3 linked regions of the Lepisosteus oculatus genome follow. The protein of the gene in region 1 interacts with the protein of each later gene in a pairwise test. Links are inferred from orthologs where the notes say so. Each region holds a gene or a part of one and is shown on either strand. Other genes may lie near its edges.

Evidence for each region.
Region 2: the proteins of stx16 (region 1) and vamp5 interact in binary tests that used the Homo sapiens proteins (3 or more experiments, as listed by UniProt). The two-hybrid records come from large-scale screens. The link is inferred for Lepisosteus oculatus from reciprocal best matches to the Homo sapiens genes STX16 and VAMP5.
Region 3: the proteins of stx16 (region 1) and napbb interact in binary tests that used the Homo sapiens proteins (3 or more experiments, as listed by UniProt). The two-hybrid records come from large-scale screens. The link is inferred for Lepisosteus oculatus from reciprocal best matches to the Homo sapiens genes STX16 and NAPB.

What each region holds. Positions count from the first base shown.
Region 1 is NC_090711.1:3,135,887-3,143,017, forward strand, and holds the start of stx16 (syntaxin-16), read right to left. Parts: upstream 3,002-7,131; 5' UTR 2,616-3,001; coding exon 2,487-2,615; intron 1-2,486. UniProt on the Homo sapiens protein: SNARE involved in vesicular transport from the late endosomes to the trans-Golgi network.
Region 2 is NC_090697.1:68,593,081-68,600,646, forward strand, and holds the start of vamp5 (vesicle-associated membrane protein 5), read left to right. Parts: upstream 1-4,551; 5' UTR 4,552-5,040; coding exon 5,041-5,043; intron 5,044-7,566. Other genes in the region: vesicle-associated membrane protein 8-like, read left to right, coding at 1-93. UniProt on the Homo sapiens protein: May participate in trafficking events that are associated with myogenesis, such as myoblast fusion and/or GLUT4 trafficking.
Region 3 is NC_090697.1:40,421,386-40,428,413, reverse strand, and holds the start of napbb (beta-soluble NSF attachment protein), read left to right. Parts: upstream 1-4,013; 5' UTR 4,014-4,122; coding exon 4,123-4,220; intron 4,221-5,560; exon of another isoform or gene 5,561-5,586; coding exon of another isoform or gene 5,587-5,645; intron 5,646-7,028. UniProt on the Homo sapiens protein: Required for vesicular transport between the endoplasmic reticulum and the Golgi apparatus.

The DNA.
Region 1 (7,131 bases):
CTGTTTATTCTGCTTATATTGGTGGAGCCTGTTTCAATGACAGAGGGTTTTCAAAGCATGTCAATCAAACTCCAAAAACCAGATGCTGCCTCTGTCCGGCCTTTATCGGCAAATAATCCAGAAATAAGGCCAAGATCGACAAGAGAATCAGCCTCCCTCACAACGACAATAAAACTGACGTCCCCCTTCAAAACAATCACTGTCTTTCTGGTTGAGTCTACCCCATTACATGAATATTCCTGCTACCAGTCTTTCAAAGAGGTCAACAACAATTTCATCTTCATCGCTGTACGTGCTGTACAGAAGTGGGAAAAATGTCCATGAGAAAGGAAACTCAATTAATCTCAGGAAGGAGCCATTAAGAGCTCGGCTTTAGGAAAGCAGGTCAGAATGGAAATAACAGGAGGGCAAGCATGTGTCGGCCTGTGCCTTTGTATTAAATTCAGGCATGATGAGAAAGCAGACTGCACAGATAGGGTCTGCCTGTGGCCTCCCACCTCATTACTGATGAGAGGCCTGGACGCCACAGAACAGACACAAGCAGCCTCCCTCGGAGCAACAGCGAGAACGGCCTGTCAGTCTGACTCACTGCCATGCTACAATACCGCAGGACCCATTTATGCAGCTGACATCAAAACGGGAACTACGGAGAGTGGTCACATTTTATAGTCATCCTCTGCTCAGCATGTTTTTGGCTCTAATTTAGAAAAGCTGACCTTGCCATTCGAGAAGGCTCACTAAGTTACTTAGCTCTCCCTCCCCACCCCAATTGGTGCTCTGAGCTCCTCAGCACATTGTGGGAATGCGCAGTCGACTTTCACAATAAAGCACACTGTGGCGAAGTCAGCTGGTGAAACTGCCCGACCAAAGACCTTGACCCCGCTCTGCGAAGAGTTGCAGGAGGGGAAGGCGAATGGAGGAGCTGCTCAGCATGCATCCTTATGAATTCCATTATGGAGCAGGAGACACGGCATTTCAAATGCCTGTTGGTTCAGACAGATGGCCGAGAACGAGCACAGGCAGGTCCCTTAAGCCCACAGCACGCGATCTGGACCACAGCTCTGTGAACATTGAGACCCGCGACAGCAAATTAAAGAAATTAAAAGAGCTGCCGATATTTTCTTGTTTGGGGACCTGCTTTGTAGACAAAACAGCACTGCAGGAGAGGCTGTGCCCCATGCGAGGAGACCAAACCAATATCACAGGCCCAGAACGGGGAGGGAAGGAGAATGGACAGAGGACAGAATCTGTACTCCGCGCACGGATACGGGAGGCAACAGCATCAGAGCACAAGACGATAAACAAGTCTTTCATCAGTCTCTCTCACTGTCGGGGAGCACAAAACTGTCGGAGTAGAGAGGCAAAGCAATGGGAGACAGACACTGTGTGCCATCCAGCAGCAGGGAGCTGCTGGCAGAGCAGACCACCACAATACAAGCACAAAGGGGCATCGTATCACGCCAGCAATCAAGGGCACAGTGCAGGCCAAGCCAGGCATGCACAGAGCTCACTGTGTAGCACGCTGTGCAAGAAACACAACACCAGTCCAGGCAACATGCAGCACAGGCAAGGAAACCAACAACCCAGGCAACATCACAAGAAGCATCGCAGGACTGCACAGGGTACAGTGTACGTAGGTTCATCTCCTGTCAACTTCAGACTTTTGACTGCAAAGCCGAAGTGTATAAACCCAAACACCTTACACATTACCGCCTTCTCTGAGTAGCAGTTTTGATCCAGTCATGTGCTGAACCACACATGCCATTTTATTACCGACAGCTGTTTAAGAGCTACACTAACACCTGCTCTTCCGTCAGGAAACTTGTGATCTCCCGGGATCTGCACTTCCCCGCTTCACGGCACTAAACGTCTCCAAGGAGACGGGACTGAGGAAGTAGCACGACTTTCCCTATATTCAGGATACCCCAAAAAGGCGCCGGACTTCATTCGCCGGGGCCACGACGGGCCTACACGTCGACAGGTTGAAGGGAGCGCCGGGGCAGGTCTGCATTACGGCCTCGTTTAGCGAGGGACACCACAAACCTGGAGGCCAGGGGACAGTATAGTGCCGTATAGTCTGTCCAGGGGTTCAGCTTCACGGTGGACTGCAGCCTTTTGCAAAACGGCTACGCTACAGAGGCTGCCGAGCGTCACTAGACAGAACCCCCGGTTTCGGGGTGAAAACATGCAGACGAGAGACGGGTGTTAATCGCCAGCCTGAAGGAGGCCCCAACACACACACACACTTGCAAACGTGCAACGTACTGTACGGCGCTTACGTTAGCAATGGTTACCAGCCGCAGGGGCCGAGGCGTAAAAAGCCAACACACACTTAACACGCAACAAGATCCGCGCCCTCATGCCCGTTCTTTCACATGCATCCCCCACGACACGTAGGAAATAAAATGTCAAAATAAAGAAGCCGCCACACACGGGGGAAACAAAAACAAACTCAAATGTCAAACGGTCAGGATGAGGAGACTCACCGCAGCATTGCTACGCGTGTTCAAATGACGGGGGTCGAAAGTACTCACTTGCTCAGCCAATATTTGTCGGTTTTGGATGGCATTGTTCCGCATTAGCAAAAAGGCATCAGTCAGACGCCTGGTTGCCATGGCTCCGCGCACAGTAATTAAAACCTGCGAGCCGAAAAGCACAGGCAGCCGCGGAGCAGGAGGCTGGCTCAGATACTGTAGGAGCTAACCCCGAGACGGGCTTGCCGGAAAGCCGACACGGACAGGAGAACAGCCCCCTCCAGCCTCGCCGAGGACAACTGGGAGGCCGTCTCTAGACTGCCATGATTCCCCCCTCCCCTCCCCAGCTCAATACGGGGGAGGCCGAGCCAAGCAGCGAGGATATGAAATGCTGCGGTCTAGTCGGAGAGCATCGCGGGCGCTAACTCTAACACACGCAGGACGAAACGTCAACACCACTAGTGCGCAAACCACTCCACTTCCTGTCTCTGTCCCCGTCTCCTCCGCTGCGGGCTTCCGCAGGAAACAGGCACGGCACAGTCCAGGTTTATGTGCCACAACCGATTTTTTCTTCGCCTCGGTAATTCTCGGAGGAGGTTTCGTCTGTTTCCGCCACACTGAGGGCCATACCGTATAGTAACTGTAGTAGACACAAGCGCAGGGTCACCCAGCAGGGTGTGTGTGACCTGTCCTGTCCGTAGCATGAAAGCAGTGCACTGCAGAGCAATGCATCCTCACACTTATATAGCGCTTTTCTGGACACTCCACTCAAAGCGCTTTACAGGCAATGGGGAATCCCACTACCACCACCAGTGTGCAGCCCCTCCTGGCTGGTGCCGATGGAAGATTTGGACAGGACAACCTGGGATTTTTAATGACCACAGACAGTCAGAACCTCGGTTTTATATCTCATCTGAAGGAAAGTTTCTTACAGTATAGTGTCCCCATCACTGTTCTGGGGCATCAGGACCCACACACACTGCAGGGTGAGCGCCCCCTGCTGGCCCCACTAACACCTCTTCCAGCAGTTTCCCCAGGAGGTCTCCCATCCAGGTACTGACCAGGTTCACACCTGCTGAGCTTCAGTGGGCTGCCAGCTGGAAGTTGCAGGGTAAACAGGCTGCTAGCAAAACAGTTTGGCATGTAAAATGAGTATCTGGGCTTACATCAGAAGCAGTCTTTAGGGTTCAGGATTCGTACCAGGGAGGCTGTGGGTTCGAATCCACGCTGAGAGATGGCTGTTGTACCCGTGAGTAAGGTCCTTCACACGTGAGCTGCTCCAGGAAAAACACCTGGAGTGGCTGTGGACAAAACCCCATTTTAAACAGCACCCCCTGGAAGGATTAAATTATGTATTCCTAGATTAACTAAATCATAAAAATGTTCGATTATCTATGTGAGAAAATGTCACGTTACACTATCAATAGCAAAAAAATAAATAAATAAAGCTGAACGCTACAGGTGAAAGAGAAACCATATTGAATTTTGAATGCGTCCTTGGAACAACAACAGAAGCTGTGTCGAGGCTCATAAAGCAGCTCTCCAAAAAGTTTCCAAGTACTGGAGACAGCAATCAACCGACAGAGCGCCATCTAGTGGCGTGGATGTCCGTTATTCCTACATTACACATGTCGGACGCTAGAGGGCGGAGAAGATCTACTTTTCTAAAATGTATTGAACAACGCGCCCGGCTAACGCCGTCTCTGCCTTTCAAACATAACGATGAAGGAAGAAATGTGCAATCACCGATGATCGCCCAGTTCTTCAGGAATTAAACCCTTCGCACACAATGCTGATGTTTACCGGCACCTGTGTAAATCTTTGGGACAGTGTTTATACTTTCTAGTACTAATCACACAATTAACCTTTAGATACACCTATTGAACAAACAAGTTCTTTTGTTTTTGAATGCCTTTTTTTTAAAGTCAGTTGCAGCGTTGGCTTGAAATAAATTGATGCGTGTTTGTGGATCTATGAAGGAATCGCATAAAACTGGAAAGTGATGCGCGGAGGAATGCAAATTGCAGAATTGATTTAGCGCGGTTCTTCGTGGGTCTTTTCAACGCCGTGATCTGGACAGTGTGATGAATGAAGCAAACATCGTGGGGGGGGGGGATTCTGTTCAATACTGTGTGAGCGTTGTGGTTAAAACGGGTCTCGGCTGCAAGGGATGTCATGGGATTAAATATCTTTATTGCTGAATGGAGACATATCTGAGGAGTTCTACAGAAGCACCTGAAATCCTGGATGCAGCGGAGTGACAGCAGATGCAGGATAATTTTCCGACAGGTGAAGGATCTAAAGACACAAGTACAAGTCTCTACACAAAAGCGTTGCGCGTGTCTGAAACAAACCGCCCAGACGTGTTTCTGCCACCGATCCTCTGGGATCTCGGAAGAAATGCGCGATGGAGAGAAAAGCGATCGGTCCCGGCGATCTGTCGTTCGCAACCCTTCGTACATGCCCGTGCGCGGGTTCCCGAGAGGAGCACCCTTCACAGGGATCTGATCCCAGCCCGACACCAGTGCGCGCACCCGCCCGCTGCGCCACAGCACATCCGGCAGGCCTGTCGCCTCCAGAGCACGCTTCATCTGGGAAGCGCTCGCGTCTCCCTTCCAGGCTATAGAGCAATCAAGAACAACAACTACCTCCGCACTTCAGTGAGGTGATAACACCCCAGGCAGGAAAATGAAATAAATAAGATCACTTTGTTAGCCATATACAATTTCTTGCATTAGGAATTTTGTCTTTTTCGCATACCCCAGCTTGCCCTCCATGAGACACACGGACAGGGAGAGAGAAGCTGGGGGTCAGAGCGCAGGGTCAGCCATTGTACAGCACCCCTGGAGCAGTTGGGGTGAAGGGCCTTGCTCAGGGGCCCGACGGAGTAGGATTCCTCTGCCGGCCGCGGGAGTTGAACCGGCAACCTTCCAGCCACAGGCGCAGATCCTGCTGTCAAGCAGTTGCAGTCTAATGGCGCTAACAGGTAGAGTTATTTGTTTTTTGGGGGGTGAGGGATTTCAAACAAAAAATGTTATTCTTTTGTAATAGTAACAGGAAGAAAAGAAAGAGCCTGAATTGCAGTAGAACCATGTCAAGAGGAGTAGCGCTCTTCAGGAGTAATAACAATTCCAGAAGTTAAAGTAAGGGGACGGGAAAAAGTGCTGATAATTGCAGGAGCAGAGCAGTTGCAGTAAAGCCGCCGTTAGCGCTGGTATTATTAGTGTAACGTGACAGAGCACTCGGTCAATCGCAGTGCTGTCTGTTCCCCTCCCCGCTCACTGCAGCAGCTGATCAAACGCTCGGCGCTGTCGCCCCGACTTCAGAGGGGTCCCAGACAGATTAATGGCCCCTGGGCTGGCGGAGCTGACCCCCTGACCCCAGGGACTGGAGAGCAGACGGCGAGACCCCGTGGCGCGCCCCGGTCCCTGCCCGCACGCCCCTCCAGGTCACGGTGACGCGGTGCTCGACTCGGCGAAGGAATTTCACGATTTCATTTCCAAGGCACAGAAAGGCAAAAATCGCGATGAATAATAATCGCGATTCTTTGTGTAGGATGTGGTCTAGTAATGTCCTAGACAGTGCACTACAGATAAAGGGTATAATACAGAAACATGCGATAAAAAATAGAAGTTCGTCGATAGAAAAATATACCATTAAATTAAATAAAGGGACCTACAAAATTAAAAATCCCTGACGCTCCAGGGAAGGGAAATTATTCAGAATAGGCACATCGTAAGAGATCACTTTTAGAAGGCAGGTATACAGTGCAATAACCTGTCTTTTGGTATTTATGTGCTGTAATTTGTTTATGAACGCAGATGGGCATCAAACATCGTGACTGATACCCTACTAATCTGTCACCTGAAGTAGTTCATGTGGGGAGCCGCGTCACCATGCGCAGGCTGCAAAGGAATAAGAAAAGGTTTATTTACCTCCACCCCTCATCCGTGAGCACCTGTGCTCCACCCCCTATAGGTGTATGCCTATACCCCGCGCCTTAGAGTGAAGCACATGGTTTCACAAGGCCTTTCGAAAGGAACATTTCCTGCGCCCACCTGCGTTAAGAGCGCTAACGAAAAGAACGGAGCAGCACGTGTTTTCTTTTGGCCGGAACCAAAAGCGCTCTCTGAATGCAGTGGCGGGGCATCTCCGCCTTTCAGACATCTCAGCCCGTCAGCCTCTCGGGGACCCCGTTCTCTTCCAGATCTCCCCCCCCCCCCGACCTCGTCCCTTCCCTCCGTACTGTAAGGGCCTGGTGGATGCTGCGGAATTCCACCCTCGCCTGGATCCGTGGTTTTAATTTGGGTCGGGCGCTTCTGGGTCTTGCTGTTTCTGGACCGCCTCACCAGGGCTCTCTCCGCCCAGCTGTCGACGAGCGGTGCGGCTTCACTCTGGTGCTGGTGCTGGTGGGGAGGGCAGCGTGCCCAGCGCGGTCTGGGGGGGCGGGGGCGTGCGGCATGCGAGCTGGTGTTGAGGGAGGCTCCTGCCGGCTCCCCTTGGGAGTGATCCTTGTTTTCCCGAGCACTGTGCCCAAGAGCCTGGGCTGCTGCCGTCATCCAGGCCCAGGAGGAGAGCATGCTGGCCTGCAGAGGGCGCCAGAGATGAGTACAGAATCCTAGACTGCCAGGCATGTGTGAGGGAGGTAATAAACCAG
Region 2 (7,566 bases), on another chromosome or scaffold:
TGCATCGTTGTTGTCGTTGTCATCATCATCCTCATCATCATCCTGTTGGCCACGGGGGTCATCCCCACCTCGAGCTCCAAACCTTCTCCCTGAGTCCTCACTGCCTGTACGGCCTGGAGGTTTTTCTCACTCCACACACACACGCCATGTCCCTCCGAGCTCCCCACTAACCTCTGGCCACTTGTCTTTTTTTGTTTGTTTGACAGAGGAGTGAGCTGAAGTATTTGAAATTGTGATAATTGAAAAGGAAAAGGGAGTGAGCCATTTTCTCTGTAAATGGTGCACCCCTGTACTCCTACTCAACCTGTGTGTGCCCCTTGATTTACACAATCTAACACATCCCTGCCCCCCCTTGCATCTCAGACAGGTTCGATGATGACTGCTCAGTCTGGAGCTGACCTGCCTGCTGTATGCCACCTGTACTAACACATCAGTTCACTAGAGGGCATTATATCCTCCAATTTGGAACTCACCCATTTTGATGTAGGAGTTTTTTTGCCATTATGTTTCCTCCCTTATTTATTTAACCACATTTATATATACAGGTAGGACTATTCAAGTACTGTGTGTACATCACAGACCATTACAAATACTCACAACTTGGTTATATGAATATTTTTTTCTGAAGTAAGCAAGATCATTAATTCAGATCTTACAGACTTAAGAATTATTGTATACATGTCAGTGTATATATATATTTTTTTCTTGGGTAAACAGATATAGAGTTTACTATAGTATTAGTTTGTGCAAATGTTATGAAAATTCATTTTCACAGTGTTTTCCCAGACATTCTGTAGGCATGCATGCCTGCACCGTGATTAAGAAAACCAGTTCTGTTTTCTGGAAGGAACCTTTTTTTAGCTAGGAGAACAATGTTACAAGAATGTCCCTGAGCCTGAGTAATTTTGCTCAGGCTCACAACTGGACATATTAGTTTAAATTACATTTATAGTCAACAAATGTTGGCAGTTACCTGGGCAGTGTCCTAATCAAAGTTTGATTGTAGAGAAATATACTTCAAAAATCTGTCCACCTAAGTTACATGGACAGAGGGTCTTTAATAACGAATAGTTAGAGGTGGCACTTTAATGTTACACATAAGCTGGAATCTGGGAAGCAATGTGTTTTTTCCCATTCCAAATATGGAAAAGTCGCTTTGCATTATGAACTAATAATGTATACCTTTTCCATTTATTCCTACCCTAAAATGGCTGTTTAGGACTAACTTTATGTCTTTTTCTGCCTTCATTATATTCTAATTCGGTGGTGATTTACTTAACCGTACAGTACTTCAGGAGTTGAAGAGTGAACAGTAACCTGTAAATTATTAGCTGCACCTTATCAAAGTGAAGTATTTCAATTCATATCAACAGACTACTGCTGCTTGAGCTATAGTCTGTTTCTCCTGTTTGCACCAGAGTTGTCTAGGTTTCTGGGTCCACTTTCAACTTGTTCAAAGGTAAGGTGTGGCACTCAGTTTTGGAACCAGGTTTTTTACCCAAGATATTTTTGAATAAAAAAATAAATTTTCTTGGCTATTGTTCTACCATCATGCCAGAAATGGTATTTTAACTGTTTTGATAAGAACTTCTAAAGATACATCACCAGCAGAAGTGCTGCAATGACTGTTTGACATTAGAGTTGAAATGGTGAGATGGAACCTGTGATGCTAGTTCTGAGTAACCAAGCGATATCTAACACTTGTATATTGTTAATGTTATGTTACTCCACTGTCTGTTCATTGCAGAAATAATTATAAGATACCTCCTATAACCCTGTTACTGGCCATGTGCACAAAAACTTTCTTTAAGAGATTTTTTAATGCTTTGAATCATTAAATGCATTTTTTCTCTCATTTGTGTCTCTGGGTTAAAATCTGTTCAATTAAAGAATTTATTTTAGGATGTAAAAAAAAATATTTTAGAACAGTTAGTGTTCTGAAAAGAAATGAAAAATGTAACCCTTGAAAACTGTGCCCTGGGTTTAATTAAAGTGAACAGAATCGAATGCATGTTGAATTATATGCAATGAGATTTGTCAATCTTTGGGTGATCCATCCACAGAGTCCACAATAGAAAGTTATTGTGTGTGTGCAATATGTAGCCGTAAGCTACATGTTGTGTGCAATATGGGAATAGCTCGCTTCAGTAATATTGATGATTTAGAACAGCTGGGTTAAAATTGTCAGTATTCCTCCCAAATTTCAGTTAAGAATATTAATTTACTATGTGTTAAGATATAATTATTTATCAAATATATTTTCCTCATTGTGTATAATTAATTCTTTTCTCGAAGTAGGCTATGTAAAATCTTTCACAGTAATTGCAAGGACTGTACTCGCACATTACAAAAGCCAAGGAATTAATTTACAGTAACTGGCTGCAAAAAGATTCAAGTCAGCTGCCATGGGTCTTCCAGGGCAGTCTAAGCCAAAGTGCGCATTACTCTTTGTATGGTGTGTGTGTCCTAAGGAAAGTTATGAGAGTCATCATAGGTCAAAGGGTACAGCTTTCTTTGCAAGAAAACCAACATCACCAAAATGAACCTCTTCACTGGAAATTTGATCTCGAACAGCCGTTTTCCCACAGGCTGTTCTCAGGTTGATTTAAGTAGCCAATAAGATTTGTGAGATTTGGTTAACAAATTAACTTGTTCTCATTAAGCAAATAGGCTAATACTGGGTTTTGGGGTGTTATGCAATTAACTCAATTTAAACTTGAGAAGATGCATAACCCTAAACATACTGTGATTCTCCAATGAGGCAGTAAAGTAGTTAACTTAGACAATCAAACTGTACATATTCTTAATAACTTTTTATCCGTATACTGTGTGTAGAAAAATTAAAATGGTAGAACAGGTAAGATAGTTTTATTTTGATTATTTTCCTGCATGTATTAAACTAGAATAAGACTGTCAATGCTTCATCAGCATATCATATAATCAAAGCCATGCAACACAACTATAAAATCTTCATAGGTTAAAAATGGCATTTTAAAGATATTTTGAAGTGTCGGTTCCAAATTAGAAACCACTCATTTCATCTACTAATGCCACCGAAAGCTAGTGATGTGGTGTAGTCATTCATGTTAGAAATGAATGACTGAGGGTGACGTCGGCAGTACCGGTAATTAATCACAAGAGGGAGACATTAAATGTAAACATCAAGACTGAAGTTACTGATTCTTTAAAGAATGAAATCTATAAAATAGTTGAGCAATTCTGAACTAAAATTAAGTGGAAAAAATATTTATTTTTCCTGTCTCCGTTTTGGTCTGTCCCTTATCTTCTGTTCTAAATATGCAACTACTGTATTGCAGAAAGGGGAAAGGTTAATTAAATTGCGTTATCAACAAGACTTCTGTGATTTTATTTGCTAATCTTTTGCAACTCTCTTGGACGATAGCACTCGACATCTCTGTGGTTCGCAACGGAGGAACTAACAAATATTAGCTTAAACACATGTCTGTTTTGCTTCCGTGGTTAAATCCAGGCCTTTGTCATTAGGTTTTACCATTTCAGAGTTTAAGGAAGTCATGCCTGCAGGTGTTCAAATGAAGAGCTGTGTAATTTAAAGATAGCACTACTAGTAACTGCTGAGAGGAACTGAATCAAGAATCACTTCGTTTTCCGGTTGTCTTCAAGCTTTTCTATACGAAATAGTTATAAGTGAGGTGAATTTTATTGAAGGTGATATATATCTCACTAAATTAAACTTGCCGGTGCAAAGCATAACACTTTAGCACAACACAGCTCATGTAGTTAATTGTGAATGACTACAGTGCATCTAGTTACTGTATGTGTACATGACTAATCCTAGTTCAGTACATGTGACTACTGTCCATTTAGTCGTGTGTACATAACTACAGTCCTATAGTACTTCATTGTAGATGACTACAGTCCTTGCAGTTATTTTTACATGTATGTACTAGTTCTGTACATATGATTGAGTGGTCAGTAAGGAAGGACCACATGCACAAACACCTCTGAAACTCGCTTATCTGCACTGATGATGAAACTAGTGATGGCAGAAGCGGAAGTAATTGTGGGGGCTTCAGGAAAGATTTTGTTTGCATACGTAGAAAAAATATCTATGGGCCAGCACCTCACAGTGCAAACAAGACAATGACCCAGGCAATGTGATCGAGTACCAAACAGTTCATCGGGATAAAACGTAGAAATTCTTAAACTGGCCAAATCCAGGATAAAATGTTTGCCTGGAGTGATCCCAAAATAAAACGTATGTTGTCTTTACGAATTATATTAATCTCACCTACGATACTGCCCTAATAATTCTGGAGGGAACTGTATGTACATTAGTCAGTATCGGTTCACTATCTAATTTATTATACTTTATTTCAGATTACATATTATTATTATTTCAGATTACAAACATACAGATTTACTAGCATTGTTTATATAAAAATATATAATATAGTATCATATATATAATATTGCTGCTGTGGCTTCACCGCTCTAGAGACACTAAGGGAAATTAGGGCGGACTTTTTTTCAAACCACAATGTATGACTTGAGTTTTTTCCAGTTTTTTTCTCCACGGCTTTTGACAGCCAGGAACTGCTGAGCAGTTTCTGACCGACAAAGCGAAGGAAGAAAAAACAACTTCCACATCCCGAAGTCTCGAAAACAGCTGCCTCGCGTTTTTTTTTCTCTTCTTCTACTTCTTCTCGAGACACATCTGTGTCTTAAATACACTTTTTGCCGACCCCTGAGTAAAATATAAACGTAAAAACCAGTCTCCGCAGGCCTCCACCCCCAGTCTTGTGGGTGGTGTTTTGAATGCCAGTCATCCAGAGATAGGGAGAAAGAGAAAGGACACGGTGGAAGCGAAAGGGCCTAAGGACGAATTCGTCGAGGGACGTAGAGCTGAGGTTGAAGTGTGTTCATCAAAAAATAAACTTGAACAATAGCAGAAGGTTGTTGTTTTTTTTCCCTTTCCTCCGGGAGCGACTTTGGACGCAACCCGACTTCGTCGTAGGCTGACGTTTTTTGTTCCATTCAGGCAGGAATAGGACTGTCAGAATGGTAAGTAGCCTACAAAGAAGAAAATAGTACAAAACCCCTCAGATCTCTTGTCCAGGCTTTGATAGTGTGTGTATTGGCGATCAGCCCAATTTCCGTTGCCCATTGCAGTTCCTTAAAGCTCCGTTTTTGGGCCGCTCTTTGTTTTTGAACTATGTTATGGTTCGCTGTGCTTTTACTTTCATTAGCTACAGGCCTCGCTGTTTGGGCTGAAATACTGTTTGATAAATGCTGTAAATATACTCGCGAAAATATCATTTCGGACACGCACCCTGTTAAATGTATAGATAAAGCTGAAATATACGGGGACTTGCAAGGGAATAAAGTTGAAAAGAATCGCAAAGCCTGACTTTTGAAAGTCAAACGTTGTTACACAAAACGGAATGCAGTTTTTTTTTTAATTTGGCATTTGTAAGTGGGTCCCTGCTGTCGCACACGCCCCTGTTTCGGTCTCGAGGTGAAGCAACCGTGTTTTTCCATTCTTGAAAATGACCCATATCAGTGTAAACACTGCAAACCAAGGTACAAAGTTTTGTGTCAGTTTATCTGTACGCAGCGAAAAGGGGAAGACGTAATAAATTAAAGAGACAAACACCACATGGCGAAAACTGATGTTCAGTAACCTGCGGTTGCTTTTCTGTCCGATTTCTTAGGGTGTCCTTTTAAAAAGTTAAAGCGTTCAGCGGTCCAGTTCTGTATCCCCGTATTATCCCGCATCCCACTGTTTTCTCAAAGTGAACTCGGTGGCTTTACTGCCTTTAAAATGCACCAAAGTTGATGTAATAACCTCCGAAAATGGTGATGCATGTATCCGCGATCATCTTTGTGGTTGCACACATTAATACAATTAATGGAAGACATTTAAACACGTTTTCCATCAGATAGCTGCAATGCCTGGCTTTCTACTCTAGGTGGCGCCAAAGAATTACAGCCTTTGAGGATTCAGGTCCACGCGAGTGGCCTCAAAATGACCAGAGCAGAGATAACCTTCCAGGCGGTTCCTTATAGACCTTGAAACCTGAGTGAACATCAGAAACGGGTTAATAAAACGTGACTACCTGTAATTTGTAGGAAAAAAACAACTACACAGGCTGGGTTCATCTGTGCATGCAGTTTATACAAGCGCGTTCAAAAAAAGTCACAGACGAACGGTAAATGAAAGAAACAAAGTAAGGCATATACTTTGAAATGGTTTTACGGGCTCTAATTAACACGGTCCTGGGCGTGCCTATCTCATTTAACATGAAGTAGTCCAAAATTAGTGATAATCAAGAGTCTGGAACTCTTGCTTTAAGATAGAAAAGTACTATTATGACCAACTGTGCTTGTAGCTCTAGGGATTACAAGGACTGGAGAATTGCTCATGTAAAACCAATCCCACTGAACCAAGTAATTATAGACCAATAAGTCTGACTGTTAAATATAAGATGGTTATGGAAACAATTATTAGAACTAAACTTGAGGATAACCTATTTGGAAATAATATCTTAGGAGTTAGTCAACACGGATAGAATTATTTTACCAAACAACAAGTGTAATACACACACAGGGCATATGATACATTGTATTTAGAGTTTCAGAAGACTTTTGATAGTTTGTCAAACTAATTAATTTATAAATTGCAGACGATGGCCATTGGGTTGACAATTAGTCATTAAAGAGAAAACAGAAGGTACTACAGATAGCGAGGGATATTACAACTGGGGTGATGTAATTTAGTTCTTCTTCTCCACAATTTGTGGAAGCAAAAAAGCAAACAAAGCTAACAGTTTAAACTTTTTTAAATGTTAAAATTGTATAATGTGCTTGTAAGGCCTCATTTATAATGCAGTGTACAATTCTGGTCATCCTGTTACAGCAAAGATATTCTGTTCTGGGGCTGAAGGCAGTGTTCTGAAGGAGCTGAAGCTTTTTAATGTGGAGAAGACCACAAGGATGATAACACTGTATCATTGATAAAAGTATTCAAAATCCTCAAAGGCATTGACAATATCAACCAAGTCAATTTATTCAGAAAGAACAGTGAAACTCAAACCACTGGACACAGAAGCCGTTACTCTTGCTTCTTTCAAGAAATGGCTGGATGAGGTGCTTGGATCAATTAGCTACTAATTACCAATCAATGCAGATGAGCTTGATTGAAAAACATTCTTAGGCTCTCATCTGCCTGTGGTGATTTGATAACATTTCCTGTGCGGTGTGGCTGGTAGTTCTTCTGGTAAGAACAGCCTGCTTCCCAGAAAGGCATCAGACTTGTTCCAACAAGCAACTGTGTAAGAAGAATGCATTATTACATGTTATGTTTTAGACTTGATATTTTTATCTGTTGGAAAAGAATATTAAGTCAGGCATTGCCAATAAAGCTTTAAACTTTTGCTACTGTGTGCTAGAAGGGTGTCCATTCCTGACCCCAAAGAAATCATGCCCAGCAGGTCTTCTGGATAGGACCTGGAATTTTTCTTCACCACCTGATCTTCAGGACTCCTACCCTGTAGTTCATTTATTGGCTTGTAGGTGTTCGTGTAG
Region 3 (7,028 bases), on another chromosome or scaffold:
GACTTTGTATGTTCCCCTCGTGTTTGTGTGAATTTTTGCCAGGCGCTCCGATTTCCTCCAGGTGTCTAAAGACAAACTTAGGTTAATTGAATTAATCCAAGGTGTATTCCCAACATCGGATTGGTCCCTGTATAGAGGTAAAGCAGATAGAAAATGGTTGGATGGATGTCACACATGACCATATCTCTAAATTAAAGGCATATGCAATAATCCATGCAACCGCATTTAATATTTCAGAGACCTATCATGCGTGTTGTCACTGTTGGCGTATAGTAACAATCCACATACTTCAATGGAAAAATATACTTAAATGTTTCCTCCAAAATTTCCCTAACGATCTGCACATTTATGCCTAGTGTCATTTTTAAAATAAAATTATTAGTACATTGGAAGTTGGAAATGTTTTAACCTTTATTATTTTTTATATAGTGTTTTGTTTTAACCGTGTACAAGGTTTTAAGGAAATGCTATCGTCGAAGGACAAGTCAGAAGGTAGCTTGCTGTTGCCACCTGGTGGAAAATATCAGTATCACAAAAGGCTTTTTCCACTTTACCTATCACAACTAAAAATACTTAAAAATAGGGGTGTTATTATAATTTACAATTAAATATCACTTAATTTGTTTAGGACATTTGTTTACTATGCAAGCAAATTCGATCAATATTAATTTCACCCCTACAGTCAGGGAATACTTTGTATATTCTTTGTATATTACTGTGTTACTATGCTTCCCTATAGAACACACATAATGTTCCACAGCTAGAGACAGATATTTACAGGTCTAGCCTTCATCAGACACTGAAAACATAGAGCTTTCTCTGAAACAGAGAGGCAAACAACTTAAAAAGGCAAAAAGGGAACCTTCATCCTTTGAAATAAAAGGATCCCATTCAGGACTAATTATCGCTCTAGAACAAATACTGTAAAAAAGGAAATTTTCATATTCAGAATCTTGCATAACTCCATAATGAGAAATGTCTCTTAGCCTGTGAATTCTATAAATAAAATAAAACAACAAGTAACATTTTTAAGGCAGAACTGGACATGTTCTGGTCTCTTGGTCTGTAGGAGGATGTTTCTCTCTCATGTCCCACTTGCAGCTCTCTCCAGTGTTAATTTCTCCAGTCTTCCTATTCTTTTCTGCCTCTTCCCTGTTTACAGTGTTCAATTTATCGTGGTTTAAGGCCTAATCTGACTATTGTCCCCTCAGGACAATTCCAGATCACCCAGATGGCTTCTTGTACCTCCAGCAACTTTATTTACTGTATCTATTGTAGTAAATGCCCAGCCATCTACATTGGAGAAACAGGAAGGAGACTTGGAGACCACTTCAGAGCACATGTAAGGGCTGTGAAGATTAAAGATCTCTCCAAGCCCATTGTTTCCCATTTCACCTCTGACGGCCATGACCACTCTAATCTCTCCGTCTGTGTTCTCAAAGACGGTTTTCCGAACTCAAACATCAGAAAGACTACAGAAACCAAAATTATCCTGCAGCTAGGATCACACTTTCCCCCTTCCCTTAATGACAGACTACTTTTCTTCTAAATTTTCTCCATTCATTGGAGGTTTCATTTCACACCTCTCGACACCTATTCTGACTTCACACCTCTTGATTGGCCTCTCTTTCTGTCTCCTGCTCCCGCCTCTCGCTCCTCCTCTCTCCCAGCCTTTGTTCTTCCGCTACATTACCTTTGCTTACTACCTTGTCTTTCTCAAACCTGAAGAAGGCTCCACGGCCGAAAACGTGTTTTCTTTCTTCTTTTTTTCAGCATGGAATAAACCTATTACTTGTTCCTCAAAGGCCTCTTTTGTGGAATAGTGTTAGATAGTGCTACTTCACTGTTATCACTATAAGAAACATATGTGTCTCATACATAGTATGTGTCTAATCTGCAAATTTCATGTACTTAGTTTCCACACAGACCTGGAAAAAAACAATAATTTTAACAAGATAAAAGGCTGTCTAGATTAAAACCAAACCTGCATGATAACAACCTAAATATAAAGCACTGAATGGTGAAGATCATTAAGTTGTAGTACACTGTGGTCTTGTGGCTTACTGCATAAAAAAATAAAACACTTTAAGTTTTCCAGTAGTTTTTACTGTAAGTATCCATTGAATTTAAAGGTGTAGAACAAATAATTTAAACATTCAATATTAGGCTAATAGAGAACCCATTTCTAATACTTAATTAGTGATTAGCATTCAAGTTATTTTGCACACATACCTCCAGGTACTTTGCACTAGTGGCTATTCCAATGTGCATAGTCTCTTACCTAAATCTTTCCATTAATGAAACTGGTGAAGCAATTTCTCAGCTATCTGGGTTATAGCTGTATTGAGGGACTGTTGGTGTCATAATGGCTTATGTGTGACCACCCAATTTGGTTATGCATTAATGGTGAATGAAGCAAGTCCCCATCTGCACGTAAAACACTTTGGAACATCCTTTTGGATGAAAAAGCACTATATTCATGCAACTAATTAAGTATGCCTTCTTCCCTGAAAGGAGCAGAGTGAGATTTTGCTCCATTCCTCCCTATAACAATATTGTATATCAGATCTTGTAATAAATGAATGAATAGGAAACCCTAAAGTAAAAAAAGAGCTTTTCCTGCTCTATTAAATCCTACTACATTATTAAATTAATTAAGAAAAGGCTATAAGAACCCAGATACATTTTCAGCACCAACTGAATCTGAATCAGAATAACTTTTATTCACCAGTACGTGTCAGGTACAGGAATGTGCCTTTGCACATTTGGAACCTGCTCAACTCAAAACCCACACAGGTGCAAAACCAGCATCAATATTACTGACATAATTACATTAGACTATATACAAAAGATGGGGAGACACAAAAATAGTCACAATATGTGCTCACAGTACAGTACAGATGTGTGAAACAAGTAGACATTACAGTATATATAATACACAAGTTCACATTTTACAGTACAGTGCAAATGTACAAACAATAGAATACAAAGGAACAAGTAGAGGTTTATCCCATGCTGAAAGAGAAGAGAGAAAACAACGTTTCAGCTGTGGAGCCTTCTTCAAAAGGCTCCACGGCTGAAACATTGTGTTTTCTCTCTTCTCTGTTCAGCATGGAATAAACCTATAACTTTTTCGTTTGCAGACTACACATATTTATGCAGCTACGCACCTGAACCAAACAATAGAATATGTTTGTTCCATAAAATATCACATTATTCTAGAACATATATATGCCCATAGAGAATTGATTATATCTGTTACCTAATACAACCAGTAAATGTACAAATATGTGGATTTTTAATTAAGCAAAATGTGTAGGCCAATAAAATATAACATATTCTGTAAACAAAGCAAAATGGTTCTTACTTACGTAAGTAATATTTTACTGTTAGGAAAGATGTTTAAGTTACGCAAATATAGTAGCACTAAAGCCTATTTTTTAAAATCGTGAACAGTTAAACAGTTTACCTTGAACAAAAAAGAAAAAGAACAGTACTATTAAGTTTGTTTCAAAGGCATAGAAATCTATCATATTTTCGTAGAACGTTCTCAAAATAATGCAATACTATTTATATAAAATACTGTGAAATTCAAGTGTTTCAAAATAGATGTTTAAGAAATTTGTGAATGACTGTCATTGTATGCATTATTATTTATTATGTATTACGAACAAAGTTCTGAAAATAGAGTATATAAAACCCAAGCGTTCGTTTTTATTTTCAGAATAAGGTCACTGCATCTGACTTGGTTTAATGAAAAGAGATGTTCAGTTACACTCTCCAAAACCAAATATTGAAGTAAATTAATCAAACATTCAAACACCGTGCTACAGTATATCACGTACTGTAGAACCACGCACATAATCCCTACTTTTTCAGTGGAGAGACTGAATCCGGTGATCCGCAGAACAAGTTGATGTGCTTCTTGGGACAAGTAGTTCTTTTGCAAATATGTTGTGCAATTATTGAAGATGAACAAACTACATATCCCAAACTGCCATTCGGCGGATGAACCACACCGGTGCTGGTAGTAAATAAAATCATTGACTGTTATCTACGGCCACCAGAGGCTGATGCGTTAGTATTTGAGAATTGTTGATTAAAACACATATATTAATAAAAATGGACAACACCGGCAAAGAAAAGGAAGCCATTCAACTTATGGCTGAAGCAGATAAGAAAGTGAAATCCTCCCACTCGTTCTTGGGGGGTATGTTTGGGTAAGCAGCATTTTACTGACAGTACGTTTAAGTGGGGGTGGGGTACGTTTTTAATTTTTTTTTTCCTTTTAAAAATGGAAGACATCTGCACTTACTTTCTGAAATAAATATGTTGCCATTTTTTCCCCTTTTAGAAAGGCGTACAGAGCTCATTGGAGTTTTTTCGTGTATTTGAAATGTTAATCTGCCAAAGGCCTTCTCTGTGGAATTATTGCAACTCCTCCCATGGCCATCGAGTTCACATCAAGTTATATAAATATGACCAAAAGAAGGGGATTTGTTATCTTATATCCCCATGTAAAACCCGAGTGTTTTTTTTTATTTATAACTTTACGAAATTTGATTGTAGGATTTTTGGGATTATGAGAGAATATAGATGCCAACTGATTTTCAGCATTGTGGAACCCAAGGCAGTCCCACCTTCATGACACATCTTTAAGTTGTATGATAAAGCTGCTTTTCTTTTTGAAACAATAATACAAGTGACATCTCCATTTTTTAAATCTTATCAAAGCATTGCATATACCCCGTTTGAAATTACGTAACTGTAGACCTAAATCATATATATGTAGGAAAGCTAATTCGAGTTGCTGCATTTCAGCGATTCTCCGAAATCAAATGCTAGTGAATGATTTCTTTTTCAAATGCTTTAAAGGACAATTTAGAAAACGTCATATTAATGTGTTAAAATAAACCGCAAATCATAATTACGAAGTTTGACAGTTATTTAACAGTTTAAAATAAGATACGCTTATAGGAATATACCGATAACTCAGGGCCGAGTCTGTTTTAGCTTATGGCCGAGACAAATGTACTCTCCAAGGAGTAGTTGTTTTTAACTAATAGTACTATGCGTTAGCAGAATGTACATTGAATACTATTTTCAATACGTGAATCAAAATTGGATTTTAGAGATGACATTATAGCATTCTGATATTTTTGATGAAAGAATAACAAAATATAATGTAAACAATTATATAATGATTTATTAATGTAGTCAGAGAATGCATTGTAGAACAAAATATGTAATTTACAAAACTATCACAATCACACCAAGTCACACAGTTCTTAAAACGTGATTAGCTCTCTGGTGCAAGCGACACGCATAATACTGTAACCCCTTGGTTATGCGCTTCTGGGAAGTGGAGTTTTTTGCCCTTCTCATCCGCTTATTTTGTAAATTTATTTCGATGTTGGCATAAACTACATTTCCCGCGGCGCCTTGCGGTCAACGGGTCGGATCGGATTGTATCCACATCAAATAGCCAAAAAATTGAAACCTTTACAAGACGCATATTGAGTTTGTATATTTGTCCATCCCTACAAAATGGACATTTCAGGAAAAGAGAACGAAGCCATTCATCTTATGGCTGAAGCTGACAAGAAAGTGAAATCCTCTCATTCCTTTCTGGGGGGTATGTTTGGGTAAGCGGCATTTTATGGAAATCCTTGCAGTGTTATATATTCGTAATAAACATTGATTTAGCCTGGGGTCGTGCGGAGAATTTATTCAGCGACAGTAATGTTACTCAGCAGTTTCTGTAGTGGTTGTGTAGTTTGATACTGTGGTGTTACAATACTGATTAGAAATATATAGTTTTTCTTTGGATATTGAAAACAACGGGCTTTTAAAATGTGATGCTTATCAGGCCTGCCTTCCTTGTTTTTCAGATTGCCCTGCATGACCCTGACAGAAAAGGTGTGCACCATTGCTGTAGATTCAGATTTAAAGATGCTGGCTTAATATGGCTAAAATACATTTCCTAGTCTGTTGATAGGCGTTTTTTGCATGAATAATAAAATGGAAATTTACATTTTTGGGGATATGTATTGTTTTTGCTTCACTGTTAAATGTCACATGAACGTTTTTGTAGCTCTTTGCAGTTTGTGTTTTTCCACTTTATTCAGATCTGGGATCTGACAAACAAAGAATAGCTAACATTTTAATACATTTAGATTGCCCATACAGATATCTAATGAATTTGTAGTGACAGAAAAACATTTTTTAAACATAACTATATATTATAAATCCTTTAGATGCCTGCAAATGCTACACAAAATCGAGCATTTAAATAATTTTTATGTTTTCAGAACTGCAATATGTTTTAGAGTTCTTGAACTGCTAATTCATTAGTTGAGGTCTTCAGGTTCTCACATGGCTTAATTTACATCTCAATGTTTAATGCAGGGAGGCAGTTGTTCTAAAAGTAGTGTATTTGTTGTTACAATCCACACAAAAGACGCCTCCGCTTCAGGTAGTCTCAGTACATGTATAAGTTCATAATCGTGCAATGTTTCCAATTTTTAATATGAAGCACGAAGCTATGAAATAGTTTTCTGCAGCCTCTGTATAATTTTGAAAACGGTAAGCTAGGTACTGACTGCAGCCCTCCTAAAACAGTCACATCTGAATATCAGTGGGGCTCCTATATCTGGCTTTGAGTTTTGCTCCAGCAGCAGCACTGCAGTTTAATGCAGTTATTGTCCTTATTATGTTACCACAGCTTCCCCTAGTAAAAAAAATAGATTTTGAAGTCCATGTGTATAAAGCCACTCCTGTAAGTATATTAATTTAAAGACACACTTAGATTTTCACTGCTTGTGATTCTTCTCGGCATCAAAAATATTTTAAATTAATGCTTTTTCAGTGCTTTAGACAACCAGTGTTTTCTTAAAGTTGATGACTATATATGGAAGAGTAAAAACGCAGTACTGGTCTGCTGCCTCACTCCAGAAAAAAGGGCTGCCCATTTTAGCTTGTTTGGTTGCTAGTGGATACCCTAATTATTTCAGGGGTCAGTGGAACTG